Pelodiscus sinensis: one gene and its partner. The protein of the gene in region 1 purifies or fractionates together with the protein of each later gene. This does not show direct contact. Links are inferred from orthologs where the notes say so. Each region holds a gene or a part of one and is shown on either strand. Other genes may lie near its edges.

Region 1 (7,933 bases):
GCTGGCCAGTGTCAGCAGACAGGGCTAGAAGGACCTTTGGTCTGACCCAGTACGGCCGTTCTTATGTTCTTATGTACATATTGTTTGTGAAATAACACTGCAGTTTTACATGACTTAAATAAATACAAGACTATTCAAATCTGGAAATGGTCAGAAGAGGTAGGCATCAATAATGGAAAAATTCTGCCAGTATAGACCCATGAGGAGCTGGCAGATGACCCAGTGAAATCAGTTCATCTTCCCATTTTACAGATTGTCCCCACAGTATGTTGAAGCACCTGGGGATATATTTGTAAAAAAAAGTCTCTTCCTTAATCATCTGATTCCGTTGTCTGTCAAATATCAGCATATGAATTAAGGAAAAATACAGGTTTCATTTCCTTTTTTTTAGACCCAATACAGCTAACAAAGAACAATATATATTATATTCTGTCTCTAGCATCATCTAGCAAATTGTCGGTTAAATTCAGCTAATGCATTCTTTACTGTATGTGATAATGCCAGAGGCAGCCAGTAAATCTTACATTAACTTTACAAATAAAAATGCCAAGTACTGAAAAGTATATCCGATGCCTGAAAAAGCATACAGAATCCCATCCCATAATTTACCCTGGGAAAATGTCACTGACTTTTTTTTACTAGGTCAGAACAATTTCATTATTAATCCTTTCTACTTACTCATGCATAGCAGAATATGACCAATTGCTATTGTATCATGTTAAAGTTTCACAGAAAGACACTGTTCATTCTGCATACCAAGACAATATTAGCAACCTCATCCTGGCTCAAACCCAGAAACAACTTTATTTTGAAGCTCACTTACTAGTTGCTTTGATGCTAAAAATTAATTACGTCACAAAACTACATTTAAAATAGTTACAGTACTGTCTTCAGTACAGCTGAATAAATAATAAAATATTTATTATTTTGTAATAAATAATTTATTGCATAAGTTCAGGCTTGTCTTCCATTAGCAGAAACGCAGTGAGTGGTTTTCCTCAGATATATTTAGTACACCCACTCTAAATGCTCAAATGTCATACATTAGGCCCCCCACAAATTTAACTAAAATAATTTTTAAAATAATATTAGGCCTTTTTATTAGCTTCGAGTCATTGGGGTTCACCTTTCACAGCTTTTTGTTCAATCATAGAAGTTTAAAAAAAAACCTTCAGAAAACCTGAGATTCTTAAATGTAAAGGAGCTGGATCTTAAAGAAAAACACTAAATATCACCAGACTTGTGATTAAATTGCAAGAATTGGTATCAGAACAAAAGGTTCCAAATATTTTTCACTGTAAATTGATCATGATTTATAAAAAGTTCACTGAGAGTACTTGACAATGAGTCAAGTAACACATGCTGTTTCTGATTCCCAAACAAATGATACAAATACTTTTGAAGTGAATATAAACATGAAATTCAGTTTCCTGCACTACATATGCCTGAAACTTTGACAGAGAGCAAAAATGGGGCCTGAACTAGGTTAAGTGGTAGTGTCAATATGTCAGTTAACCGATGAGCATGGGCTCATCAGGTAACCTCAACGGTTACACAGAGCCCCCACCCTGCTGCCTCCCCTCCCCCCTTTAGATGTGTAACCATTGAAAATGTCAGTGGTTACACATTTAGCTGAATACACTCATTTTAACATTCTCAGCTTGAACGTGTCCAAACTGGATTTATTTAAAAATGTAGTAATTGAATATTCCTAGGAATATCACTGAGATCAAGTAAAAAGTAATTTTAGGGAGTTATTTTATAAGTTATTTTATATTAATTGGAATTTATGCAACATTTGCTAAGTAATAAATGATGTGAAAAGTGATACTAACTTTAGGACTGCTTTTTCCTGTCACAAATACTAAGTTTTCACTCCCCACTTAAATTCCTTTCTGCAATTTGATCCATGCAGGTGGAGCTTGCCACATCTGAAGAAGTGGGTTGTGCCCACAAAAGCTCATGATACCAGCTACATTTTTTGTTAGACTCTAATGTACTGCAGGACTAGTCACAGTTTACTGTAGTCAATTCCAGTTCAGCGTGGATTCAAAGTTTCCAGCTACACGCATTGGATTAGAGGATGAGGCCAAACACCTTTTATTTTTCTGTCACCTGAATTCTTTCAAGATTCTGATGAAGAACCCATCATTTCAGGCCATTCTCTAGGACGCCCTTTCAAAATTCCATTGTTTGTTTCCTCAGGCCATTAACAATGATTTCCCTTATTTCAGCATAGGAAATTCCAGAAAGTTCCCTCTACCTTACTGACCAACAGTACTGCCCATGGAAACTCCTGAAAGTTTCAATGAATTTTTGAGTAGATGAGGGAATAAAGACCCCTGGCATCTTAATGAAAGTTCCTCCCTCCATGTGAGAAAATTAGTCTCCATTCAGACTCCCCGCACCCTCCATTTTTCAGCCAGGTCTGAGGGGCAGCACCGCAGCCACTACAAAGATACAAGAGCTTTCCACCCCAGCCTGCAACTCTTTGTTTCTGGGCTACGCGGTTGGCCTTCCGTCCTGGATGCTGCGACTGACACGCTACGACAAAGCACCACTTCCAGGGACCTGAGCGAAGCCACTCAGTTCACACGACTGACAGCCAGCCGGCCGCGACGACGACAATGCGGTGCCTATTGAAACCTGCCTTCTCCATAGAGCCGCCTCCCACTCGTATGGGTCTGTCAGCTCCAGAAGAGGCACCCCAGCATCGGAACCAGGACGGAGCGGGACCTACTAGGACCTGTCATCTCCATTAGAGCCACTGGCTGGTAGGACTGAAGCACGGCGCGCAGAGGCCTACCGCCGCCACGCCAATAGCAGCAGCACCTCAAGCAGCGCGCGCTACCGCTCCGAGCTCCACCCACAAAACGGAGTGGAAACCTTAGCAACCGCGACAACCCCGCTTCCGCCCTCCCCTCCAAAGGGTTGCATTAGTTGTCTTCTGTAAAGCCCACCCACCGCAGGCGGAGTCACATGCCCCACCCTCTGGCTCATCTCATTAGCTGGAGTCGGTGTCACTCCTGGGGACCGCGAGAGCTATTCCGAGAATCAAACGGCGACTTTTGCCCCGCCCCTCTCTGAAAGCCACACCTCCCAGTGGCACGGCGATTAACCAGGACAACTGTCAATCATTGTGCTCCTGGATTGAGACTGGCTGATGCTGAGCTGTGGGCGGGCGGCGAAAAGCCGGGGTGTTTACTGTGCGTGAGGTGAGGGGGCTGTTGAGGAAGAATCACCACCTCTTTCCTGGACCCGGCCGGCTGCTAGGCCCTCGGGGGTTACCATGGGACTCCGAAGGAAGAACAAGAGCCCAGCTGTGCTGAGCCATGAATTCGTGATCCAGAACCATGCGGACGCCGTGTCCTGCCTGGCTATGGGCTTCCTGCTGGGGCTTATGTTCGAGGTACGGGGGCTGGGGGCTCTACCTGCGGCCGCCGAGCGGGGAGCACCCGTCCCAAGCGAGCCATACCGTTATTTCCGACCTGCGCCACCGCTGCTGGTCTGCGGGCAGCGGCCGAGCCTCGTCTCACACCCATCTCACTACTGGTCGCGATCCTCTTCTGCGCGCTCCGTTCTCCCCAGACCTGTCCTTGCTTGGGCCCCGTTTCTCCTGCCTCCCCAGCGCCTCACTCCGAGGGTTGGCCTTGTGACACACCCTCGCTCTCATCTCCCCCGTGCGCTGGTCCCCATGCTATTTATCCGGGCCCTCTTGTCATTGCTGTCTATCCCCGGACCCTTCATGCTCGTTCGTTCCTTTCCGCTGTATCCGACGCCCCTAGCTCACGACCTGCCCTCCTGAATCCCTATTGCCACACAGCTTCCCTTGTCGGCCCCTTCACATTAGTTGTAGCCCGTATTCCTTCCCAGCAAGCCCCTCATTCCCATCCATGCTCTTGGAGCCCAACCTGCCTTTTCTCTCGGGCGTGGTTTGAACTTTTTCGTGGAAACTTTGCAGTGGTGGAAACGTGGGTTATTGGAAATAGAGCTCCAGGTGGCCACTGGTGTTTTAACCACCAGATTGGCTTGACCTGTTATGAGCAGGGTCGGATGACATGGCAGTTGAAATGGTACCAGCAGTCCACCTCTGTTATTGATGATTCTTGCTCTCACTGACTCAGGTCAGTCAGTGATGGAGATCTAAAGAAAAATGCTAGTATTGACACAATCTTAGACTTGTCTCCCAATCCCTCTTCTCTTATGTATTTTAAAGTTAACTTTTTCTAATTAAATGAAGATGACACCTTTGATTTGGCTGAATTTTTTAGGTTTTGTTCTCTGGAATAAAATTGTTGTGTCATGATGCTGTATGAGTTCATTGTGTTAGTCTGTAAGTTGTTTAGTTTGATTTTTACTGCTGCTCTCAAGAATGGGGCAACCTAATGAAACAGGTAAGGCAGGTTGTTTGCCTTTTGTTTGGGGTTTTGTGGAGGTAGATGGGAAGGGGAGATGTCAGGACTGTCTGGAAACATGGTTTTCCAAGCTGAGACAATTTATGTCTGGGAAAGTTGTTACTGAAACAATCCAAACATCACTCATCACCTTGAGCTAGATTTAAAATAAGAATACTTAAAAATGAGAAAATACTTTGAAATACTGGGTTGAAAGATATTACGCAGTGTGAAGTATTATCTTTAAGGGTTTGTTCTTTACTGCTATGCTAGTCCTTTAGAATTCAGTGAATTATGCTGGAAAAGGGTGGATAATGGAGTCACGATAATCAAATAATGTCCCTCCAAACAAATGACAGATGCTAAGTTGGGTGATGCTGTAGTGTGCTGCATTAGAAGTGGTACAAACTAAAGCGGCTATATGACGCAGATAGAATGCTGGGATAGAAAGTGAAGTTGTGGAGAATCATTAGTTACAAGAGGAGGCTGAAGGTGGAAAAACTTTGATCCTCCTATGCGGACTAATAGGATATTTTGTCATGTGAATCCCTGGAATATGAGTTAAAGTGGATGAATTGGTCAAAAGTTAGAATGCTAAAAACAAACAGTTTGCGAAATTGTTTGTAAATCCTTGCTTGTCCAAAGTCAGTACGATCCTGTGTGTAAACAAACATTTACAGCCCCTCTAGCACTCAGTGTGATATTAATATAGTTTATTCCTGTACAACATGGGTGACCAGCCCATTCTGGGCAAAGAGCCAAGATAGCAGTGGATCCAGCACAAAGAGTTGAAAGGGGCAAAGTTGTAGAGGAGGGGGGAAAAAAAAAAAGATTGCCCCTTTAAAACGAGCCCCTGGTCATGTTTGGTCAAGCAAAAAAAAAAAAAAAACACCTCTTTAAAAAAAGGCTCTGCCCCTTTAAGAAACCGCATTGAAACGCGTTTTGAAGCTTTTGGGCCACAGCAGGCTCCCGCCACCTGCCGCCATCTTTATTTCTGTTGCTTTCATGGCTGCACCAGACAGCTCCCCTGCCCAGGTCAGCACAGGAAGCTGGGAGGAGAGGCCTTTTTTTAGGGGCGTGGGGGAGGCTTTCGAGCCATGGGGGCAGGGGGAGGCTTCATGAGCTGCACCCGGGGTTGGGGGGGGGGAAGAAGAGCCATATGTGGCTCGCAAGCCTTGGGTTGGCCACCCTTGCTGTACAGGAAGGAGAATAAGCAGTGTTTATGTCAGGCAGTATAATTTCATAAATAGTGAGGTTAAACCCATTTAACTATAGCTATAAAATATTACACCCATAACTGACCTAGCCATACAAGTACAGTTCTAAATGTAGTTTGTGCTGGGAATATTCAGCTGCATTCAAAGAACAATATTTTGTGTTGCGTTCTTCTGTCTGATGCAAAATGCATATACACAGTGCTATTGCAATCAATTCAAATTATGCAAAATAGGCAAAGGTGAGCTTGTGTAGCAAGTTAACTTTTAAGACTGTAATGCAATTTTTGGAAAAGTTGATTAAGAAACCTTTAAAGTTCCTGATGATCATGGACAGCCATTTGTAGAGGGCTGTGCTTGTCAATGTAATGAAAGTTCAGAAGAGTTCAGATCAGGGTCACTTGGTTGTTTTGATGGTGCTAGATCTCAACAGTTGTTGATGACATTGTGGTTTGAAAAATTCATTCATCCTGAAAAGTGAGAACTTTGTCCAGATAAGTAAGAAAATATATGCTATCAACTTCTTAAAAAAAAAAAAAAAAAGCTTTTATTATAAATTAAATTAAAACATTGAAGTGCTGGTCATTCTTTGAAGGGTCTACATACTCCTCTCTATTTCCATTCTTCTTTCAGGGCACTGCAAAGATTTCCTCTTCTGCATCTTGAAGTGTTTTGACTATCATTTTTGGGGTGGGGGTGGTGTCCTTGCCACGTGTGGAATGCAGCCTCATGTAGAACTGGCAGATTTGTAAAGGGGTCTAGGCCACGTATAAAATGGAACTTATTTTATAAGTGACAGATCTATGGGTAGACCCAATTTTTTGTTCTCCTCCCTTTCCTTCTGGTACAATGTGTGAAAGAACTTTGCCCAGCATTGCTTTTCTTTTTGTTGTAGCACAGGGTAAGGATGTTAAGAAGCGGGTAATTGACTAATTGTGTAGTCAGTACAGTTTGTATCGATTACACAATTAGTCGATAAGGTGAGGTGGGGTCCAAGAACGATGCCTGCTGCAGCTCTGCCTTTTAAATGTAGCAAGAGCCACCAGGCTCTTACTACTACATTTAAAAGATGGACATGCAGCAGTCCAGGACCTGGTGTGAGCCCCCCACCTCTGCACCATGTAGACAAGTCCTAGGAAAAACACCCTTCGCGGGTCAGATCTGGCCTGCCACGCCACTGGATCCAGCCCATGGATGCAGCGGGAAGTCTCAGGGTCGCCTGCTTGCCTCATCCCCGCACACCACTCAGAAAAGCAGCTGCAGGGCCATTTGTGTTCCACAAACTGAGTCTGGAAAGGAGGGGGCAGTGGTGCTTCATGGCTGCTTCTGCCCTCAGTACAATCCCATTGGCTGGTTTCTGGCAAATGGAAGTTGGCTGTTTGAAAAATAGGCAGCAAGCAAACCACTAATCCCCCCTCCACTCAGGCTCTTATTCACAGAGCACATGGCCTTGCAGTCTATGCAGGGGCAGGGCAGACTCATGCCTGAGAAACAAGCTGGGCTGTTGGCCAGGAGTCTCACTGGTAAGTCCCCAGGTCTTCCCTCCTCCCGAGCCCTATTTCCCTCCCCTCCACTCCTACCACCCCGTACTCCACATAGGCCAAATCCTCTGCCACCCTTCTGAGCCCATACCACTTCCCAAACCAAGCACCCCAATCCCCTGCCCCAGATCACAATTCCCTCCTGCCCTAGGTCACAGCCCAAACCCCTGTACCTCCTCTTGCATTCCAGTCCCCTGCCCTAGCTCACAACCCAGACCCCTGCATTCCAATCCCATGCCGCAGGTCACAACTGCCTCATTCAAACTCCCCCTCAGATCTCACAGGCCCTCCAAATCTGGCCCACCAAGCTGGCTGATCCGGCCTGCAGCCACCCTGCCGCTCCCCAGGCCAGTTGAGACCTGGGGATGGGGGAGCTGGCAGTTTTCTCTGGGTGGTGGCGGGGGAGGAGGGATGGGGCAGACTTCATGTGCTCCCTCTGCCCCCAGGCCAATCAGGGTTTTGAGTGGGAGGAGCACAGGAAGCTTCCTGGCCATGCCTCTTCTGCCCAAGTCCCAACCTTTTCCAGGGTGGCCTGCGACCACTTCAGAAATGTGTGACATGGCCAGCCCCCTTCAAAAAGTATTGCCCGTGCCTGGCATACACGGTGCTAGGGGGAATCTGCTTTTAAGACGGCTCCCCCCAACAACAATTCCTGCTTTCCTCCCCTTGCTGCCTCTGATACAGAGACAGAAAGGGGAAAGAAATGAGTAGTTGTGTTTGGCAAATGTGCCAAATGTTTTGTTAACCCCATCAAAATCTACCCAAATTTGGTCAAATTAAGCCT
Region 2 (7,392 bases), on another chromosome or scaffold:
AACCCTCCTCCACGTGTGTGCAAGAGGCACACATCCCATCCTTCATGCCTGTGCACCACACAAACACCCTGCGACGGACAACTTTGAAATGGACACGCACACCTGTCCCCCACGCTTGGGCAAGACACACCCTGCTGCTCACACAACTGTGCCGCACGCATCCTGGGCCGGCAGTCGTGCGAAGGGGCAGCTGTCTGGCTTCGACATGCCGGCCCATTCAGAGGGGCGGGGAGCGGCAGCAGGGTGGAAGGAGACGAGGACTCACACAAAGCTGGCAGGGGGCTGGTGACGGGTCAGGGGCTCAGACCGAGACCCCTCCTCAGCCCTGGGACCCCCACCTAGTACCTGGCTCCAAGTCGAGGATCATGTCGAGCGCCTGGCGGTAATGGGGGACTTGCTCATTCAGCCCCGTCAGGTTAAACTTGTCCTGGATATAGTCCTCATCCACCTGCGGGGGAGGGAGACGGGCTGAGAACCCAGGTGTCCGGACTCCCAGGCCCTCCTCCCCCCATGCTCCAACCACTAGACCCCACTCTCCTCCCATGGTCAGGACAAGTCCTGGCTCCCAGTTGCTTCCTCTCCCAGAGCCAGGCAGAGAACCCAGGCACTCTGGCTCCAACCACTAGGCACCACTCACCTCACAGAAGAACTCATTTCCACGCAGGCCACAGAACCAGGAAATCCAGGAGACCTCTTCGGAACTGCTCATCTTCCCGTCCTCTGCAGAGGGGGGGGGGGGGGGGCGCGTCAGGCTACCCGTGTGTGCGGTGAACGTGGCTCGGGCTTGGCTGGCAGCCCCACACGCCGCTCCCACTACAGACCGTGCAGCCAGTGCTGTGACGTGTCCCCTCACGTGTCCCCTCAGGAGCAGCCCCCTCAGGAGCAGCCCCCTCAGACAGCGTTCAGATGCGCCCCCTCTGGGGTGGGACACGGGGAGGGAGAGGGGCAGTTCTACAGGGACCCCTCTCTCGGCACTGAGATGCAGCTGGCTCTGGGGTGGGGCATGAAGGGTGAATGGCCCTTCCCCCATTGTATCTTTAACTCGTCCTCCCATGGCACGGGCAGAGATGAGGGATAAATACTCCCCCTTTGCACTGGGGCACAAATGCCCCCACCCTCCTCCCCTCTTTGCACAAGGGCAGACCGCTCATCATTGTGTGGGTCTGGGCCCCCTTGCCCTCCCGCTGCACAGCTCCCTCCTCCCCAGCTTGATACTAAGAAGGCAGATGACCCTGCCACATGCCCCCTTCGCTCTAGTGAGCACATGCCCCCCCCTTTGTGCTAGGGACAGACCCCCCCCACACACACACCCTTTGCACTGGGGACAGAACACACACTCTTACACCCGTTGGATTAGGCCCCCTCCCCTCTTTCCACTAGGATGCAAATCACCTCCGGCCTCTAAGGGCAGGCTCCCCCCCCTTTGCATTAGGGTGAAAATTCCCCCTCTTTGCACTAGGGTGCAAATCCCCCCGCCATGCCTTCCAGTAGGGGCAGCCCCCCCCACCTTTGCACTAGGAGAAGGCCCTCTTCCCTCTTTACACGAGGAGCAAATCCCCCCGCCCCCCACTGCACTAGGGCAGACACCCCGGCCTCCCTTGTGCTACAGCACACCCCCACCCCCACTTTGCACTACGGCAGACTCCCCGCCCCCCCTTTGCACTAGGGTAGAAGCCCCCCCTTGCACTACGGCGCGGCCGGCCCTTTGCACAAGGGCAGTCCACCCCCCGCCCCTCTTCGCACCAGGGCGCAGGACACTCACCCCCGCGCGCTCAGCCCCGCTCGGCAGCAGGCGGTGCCCGGCAGCGAGTGCAAACAAGCGCTGCCAGACGTGCACAGGCCTCGCTTCCGGCCCCCTCCCAGCGCGCGGGGCATGACGGGAGATGGAGTTCGCAGCCACCGCCGCCTCCATAGGAGTCCAGGGACGCGGGGCCAGCGCGGAACTACCGCTCCCACCATGCAAAGCGGGGGCAGCGGGCGCGGGGGGTGATGGGAGGCCGCGATGCACGACGGGAGTTGCAGTTCTCCAGCCGCCCGAACCGCATTGGGACGCATGGGCAGCGGGACCCGACGGTACTACGGGCGTACGGCAGGAGGGGACCCCGCGGAGCCGCAAAGCAGCATGGGAATCGTAGTCCCGGAGTGCCCCTAGGGCCATTAGAACGAACGGGCGGCAGGATGCTCACAGACTACACCCGCCATGACAGACAGAGAAGCGGCTGCGTGCGCAGCCGGGCGCCGCAAGGCCTCCTGGGAGTTGTAGTCCCGCAGCTCCCCGCGCGAACTACAGCCGCCATGTTTGAACGCGATAGGCGGGACGGGAGGAAGCCGGGGGAGGCGCCGCAAGGCCGCTTGGGAGTTGTAGTTCTGTCGCCGCCCGAGCCTCATTGCCGGGATTGGAGGGCGGGGGAGCGGGAAACTACGAAGCCCAGAGGAGGGGCGAGAGGAGGGGCCGCAGAGCATAATGGGAGGAGCGGTCTTCCCCCCCCCGCCGTCTCTTAGGAGCAGACCGGAGCCAGACGCATGGGGGAGGGGCCCGGACACCTGAAAGCCATCAGACATGGGCGTGGCCTGACCCGAAGGGGAGGGGCTTATCCAAAAAGGGGGGTGTCCGCACGCAAATGGGCGTGGCCTGTCCCGATGGGGTGAGACTTCACCCAGAGTAACTGCCATATTAAAGGGCGGGGCCAACACAAAGAGGGCGTGGCTTCCCCTAAACGGGCGTGTCCCTGCAAAATGGGCGTGGTCTAACCCTCGTGAGGGCGTGCCCCTTACTGGGACAGGCGGGATTTCCCGCAGGGGGCGTGGCCTCATCTCCGGGAGTGTCCGGCCCCCACGAAAGGGCGTGGCCTCCCCGCCGGGGGCGTGGCTTCCTTTACCCTCCTTGATGCTGGTGCTGCTCCGCCGGGTGCTGGCTCTGCTGTACTCCATGGCGCCCCGCGTGCTCATCTGCCCCGGCACGTTAATTGGTACCGGCCATGAAGGGTTAATTACGCTGACCTACAGGTTAATTACAAATATGTTAATTAGCCTGTCGCGGGTAGGGCTATTTCTGACGTAATCCGGTTAGGGTGAGGTAAATTAGAAGGTGTGTTAATGAACCGACGTCGGGATGACGTCACGCGCCTGCGAGCCGATCCTACTGTCATTAATTCCTTCCCAAATTAAATCTAATTCTATTGAAATGGGAACAAATCGACGCTAATTGGCTGGGTTCGAGGCAGAAAGGCATGCTGGGTAATATGCAAATGAGATTACCGCGCACCTCACGCTAGAAGCAGGGAAGCGCGCGGGGCAGTGGCCGTTACTAGGCCAGCGAGAGCGCGAGGGCCCTTGCGCATGCGCTGTGCTGGCCTCTAGGTTCGAAGCACGGGGCTGCGCATGCGCCTGTTTTCGGTTTCGCACGCGCGCCCCCTGGCTCGGTTTCACTGGGCTCCCGTGCGCAGGAGCCTGGCTCCTCCCTTCACCGCCTGACGCGTTACGTGACGTCACTCACGCGCCCCGCCTGCTTTTCCCGCGTCTGGAACACGGTGCGCACGCACCTCGGGGGGGGGGGGATGTACTGCGCATGCGCGTCGCGGGTCACTCGTCGCGGCCTAGAGTAACCGGCCGGCGGGAGGCTGCGTTCGAGCCGCTCCCCTCATGCGCGTGCCTAGAACCAGGAACCCCCCTGCCCCCCCCACCGGCGGCCTCGCGCGCATGCGCCTTCCCTTGGCCCCCGGGGGCGGCGCGCGGCTGCTGCGGCCTCCGGCGTCTCTATGGTGAGTGGGGCCGCGACGGCGTCTGGGGGGAGGGGCGGGAGTGTGGCTGGCCCCGCCCCCAGGGCCTAGCCCCGCCCACAGCTCCCCGAGGCGCTCGCCCCGCCCCCTGGCCCTTAGCCCCGCCCCTGGGGCGCTAGCCCCGCCCACAGCGCCCCCAGGGGGCTCGTTCCGGATTCTGGCCCCGCCCCCAGACCCGGGTTCCGCCCTCAAGGAGCTGGCCCCGCCCCCAGACCCGGGCTCCGCCCTCAAGGAGCTGGCCCCGCCCCCTCCCAGCCCCCACTCCCCTCCTGGGCTCTTGGTCTCACCCCCCACCCCCACCCGTCTCGGGACCCGGCTCCACTCCTCAAACCCCCCCCCCGGCTCGTGGCCCCGCCCCCATTTCGCTAGGGCCCCCGCCCGACCCCCCCCCCGGCACCCCACCCCCACGGCCCTGTCTGCGGGTCCCCCAAGGACACTGGTGCCCCCCCCCCCCGGGGAAATCACCGCTCTGCCTCCTACCTTTGCCGGCCTTGTTCCCCTCCCCGCTAGGAAACAGGCTGATCCCGCCCTGTGCACCGGGGCCGCCCAGTGACCCACCTCCATCCCCCCGTCTCCACCATGAACTCCGGCCCCCAGCTCATCTCCTTCACCCGGGCCCGGGAAGAGTCAGACCTCTGGAAGGATGGGCAGCTCCAGATACGGGCCGGGTGCCCTGTCCGACGCCGGGAAGGGGATGCGGATATGGAAGGCGAGGAAGCCCGGAGCTTCTATGAGAGCGTCCTGGCCTCCGGTGACCGCTCGAGTCCCCTACGAAAACGCAAGGCCCCACCGAGACGCCCGAGGGTGCCTGAGACACCCACCACCCAGACAGGGCAGACTGACTCTCGCCGTGGGAACCTGCTGCTGAGATCGGCCCAGGAGGGTGACACAAGGACCCTGCGGCGGCTGCTGGAAAAGGAGGGGTGCGATGTGAACTACAGGGACGGTTATTACTGGACGGCGGTCATGTGTGCCGCTTATGCAGGCCGGGGGGAGGCCGTGAGATACCTGCTGACCCGGGGAGCCGCATGGGTGGGCGTGTGCGAGTCGCAGGGCCGGGATGCGGTGGACCTAGCCGAGGAAGCCGGGCACCAGGATGTAGTGAGGATCCTCCAGGAGCGTGAAACGGCTCAGCCAGAGGGCAGGATGGCCAGGTGAGTCTTCGGTTCTGCTCACCTGACCCAACCCCAATCAGAGCTAGAGCTCTCTAGAGAAGAAAGGTCCCGTCTCCCCTTCCCCATCTGCCTCAACTAGCTAGTTTCCCCAAGTTGGGACCAGATGGGACCAAAAGGGGAAAGGCCCTATGTCCCGTTCCTCATCTCCCTGAGCCAACCAAGTAGTCCCTGACCCTGTTGTCTCCCTAGCAGGAGGACTCCAGCAGAGAGGAAATACTGTGCCGTGTGCAAGATGCATTATAGCGAGGACAGCGTAGAGCTCCACGAACGCTCCACGGCCCACCTCTTCAATCGGCGCGACCCACTGCCTCCCACCCGCTACCACATCCCCGAGAACAACGTCGGCTTCCAGCTCATGGTCAAGGGGGGCTGGGACGCTGAGGCTGGGCTGGGGCCTGAGGGCACTGGTCGTAAATTCCCTGTCCAGACTGTCCTCAAGAGGGACCAGAAGGGCCTGGGCTTCCGTAGCGACCTCCGGCCCAAGGTCACCCATTTCAACGCTAATGACCCCAGCGCTGTGGCTCAGCCCAGGGAGCAGCAGCCTAGGACACAACGGGCAGCTACAGTGGGGAAGAAAGAGGCCCGTCGCAGAGAGGCCAAAGCACAGGCCTGGGAGCGTAATCTGCGCACCTACATGAACCTTGACCTTTGAACTCTGGATTAAGAGCCTCGATGGTTATTCAGCTACTGGGATTGCTTGGATGGTGCATCTACATTCACTTTGACCTTTAACCTTTCACACTCACTGATTCCTATCAATGTTCAGCTGTTTGGATTGCCAGGATGGAATGTCTACATGAACTCTGACCTTTAACCCCCCGAGACAATTAACAACCCTAAAATCATGCAGCCAGTTGGATTATCCAGGTGAGGTGCTTTTTGAGAAATTCAACCTCTGGTATTTCTGATACCTGCGCTGTTAGCCAACAAACCTACAGCCCAGGAAAACTTTTTAGCCAATCAGATCCCTCATGTCTACATGAGTATTGACCCTTAACCTATGATGTCATCTTTGTGGAGTACCATTAACTAATAACGCACAGTCCTTGAAAGTATCCAGACAGTTGATTTCCTTGACATGTTGGATGCAAACCCTTGACAAAACATTGACTATGAACCAGAAGCATCTCAATGGGATCTCTGTGCCGCACCATTAACCACTCAGCCTACAGTTCTTCAAACCATTCGGCCTATTGGAATTCTGGATTGGCTGGTTGATATGACATCATTTTTCTTAAAGGGCCAGTAGCTATCAGGGAAGAGACACATCTCTGCAATCCTCACGGTCTTAGAATGCCAGATCTGCTGACTAGGCCAACATGCACAAGCTCTTGTTCCTGTAATTTAATGGGATGATTCAGGGATGGGAACGTGGCCTGGTTGCTGTTCTCCCTTCTGCTCAGAAAGCAGTGAGATGTGTGAGCAGGAAAAGATGCTGGCCGGGTTTTTTGGTGTCTGGGGATTTTGACTGATTTGGAGGGGAAACAAATCTCAGTTTTTGTTTGGATTCTATTTGATTTGGAATCTTTAAGTGAGAATAAATAGTGGTCCCTCCCTGGTTGTTTTGTGGCTCTAGTGATTGTCCTAAGAGATCTGGATTTCCTAATTGACCGTGTAAACATAGGTAAGATCAGAGTCTAGCCCTGACTCCAAATTTACCTCATAGGAAGTGAGATCAGAACGTGTCCATTGACAACAGTGGTGTCACTCTGAATTCAGTGAATACAGAACCTAGCCCGGGATTGACAACAGTGTGGTGGCTCTGGATTTAGCTCTGAGTCCCTGAGATCAGCTTACAGCTCCATTTTGCAAAGTCAACAAAACAGGCCTTTTATTTGACATCATAGTGTAGCTAATGGAGTTTCATGAGGGATTTCTCCAGGTGAAGGAGAAGCAATTATGGGACCCTTGGGGTAAGTGGCTGGCTGTAGTGTGTGTGTTTGTGTTTGGGGGATACTTCCTGGTTGCCTGAAAGATACTCTGTGCTGAACGTGTGCTTTTCTGTCTCTTTGGATGTCTGTGAGCTGTTTATTTGAAGGACCATGTGCTGAGGCCGGCAGTTGGAAGCTGTATGCTTGTTAAGAAGGCTTTGAAACCTAACACTTTGTCCATTCATCAGGCCTTAACCAGGGGGCAGGGCTATCAGGAAGGCCAGAGCTAGTAAGTGACCAGGGAGCTTAGCTAATGGGAGCAGCTTTCAGGGAGTTTTGTGAGGGCGTTTAGAGGGAGAGTTTGAAGGGGGCTAGCTACACTTGGCATTCTTTAACACTTCTTTCAAACTAAAACCAAAACTACCCGATTGTAATAAAAAAAAACCTATCAAGAATCTAATTACCTACAGGAGAGGTCATAGGCACAAGCCCAGCAGCAAAGTGGGAGCCATCCTGTTCATTGTACCCAATGTAGGATGTATGATTACCTGCCCTATGGGCGGGTGG

What was found. The genes of interacting proteins can lie anywhere in the genome.
Region 2: the proteins of ZMYND8 (region 1) and CSNK2B purify together in Homo sapiens (affinity purification with mass spectrometry; 3 studies listed by BioGRID and IntAct, with this or other methods). This does not show direct contact. The link is inferred for Pelodiscus sinensis from reciprocal best matches to the Homo sapiens genes ZMYND8 and CSNK2B.

Annotation. Positions count from the first base shown.
Region 1 is NC_134728.1:21,914,267-21,922,199, reverse strand, and holds the start of ZMYND8 (MYND-type zinc finger-containing chromatin reader ZMYND8), read right to left. Parts: upstream 3,016-7,933; 5' UTR 3,001-3,015; coding exon 2,965-3,000; intron 2,857-2,964; exon of another isoform or gene 2,660-2,856; coding exon of another isoform or gene 2,651-2,659; intron 1-2,650. Other genes in the region: translocating chain-associated membrane protein 1-like 1, read left to right, coding at 3,290-3,409. UniProt on the Homo sapiens protein: Chromatin reader that recognizes dual histone modifications such as histone H3.1 dimethylated at 'Lys-36' and histone H4 acetylated at 'Lys-16' (H3.1K36me2-H4K16ac) and histone H3 methylated at 'Lys-4' and histone H4 acetylated at 'Lys-14' (H3K4me1-H3K14ac).
Region 2 is NW_027466017.1:275,612-283,003, forward strand, and holds the start of CSNK2B (casein kinase II subunit beta), read right to left. Parts: upstream 3,001-7,392; 5' UTR 2,950-3,000; coding exon 2,880-2,949; intron 1,899-2,879; exon of another isoform or gene 1,763-1,898; intron 721-1,762; coding exon 638-720; intron 449-637; coding exon 346-448; intron 1-345. Other genes in the region: GPANK1 (G patch domain and ankyrin repeat-containing protein 1), read left to right, coding at 4,359-4,933, 5,144-5,606. UniProt on the Homo sapiens protein: Regulatory subunit of casein kinase II/CK2.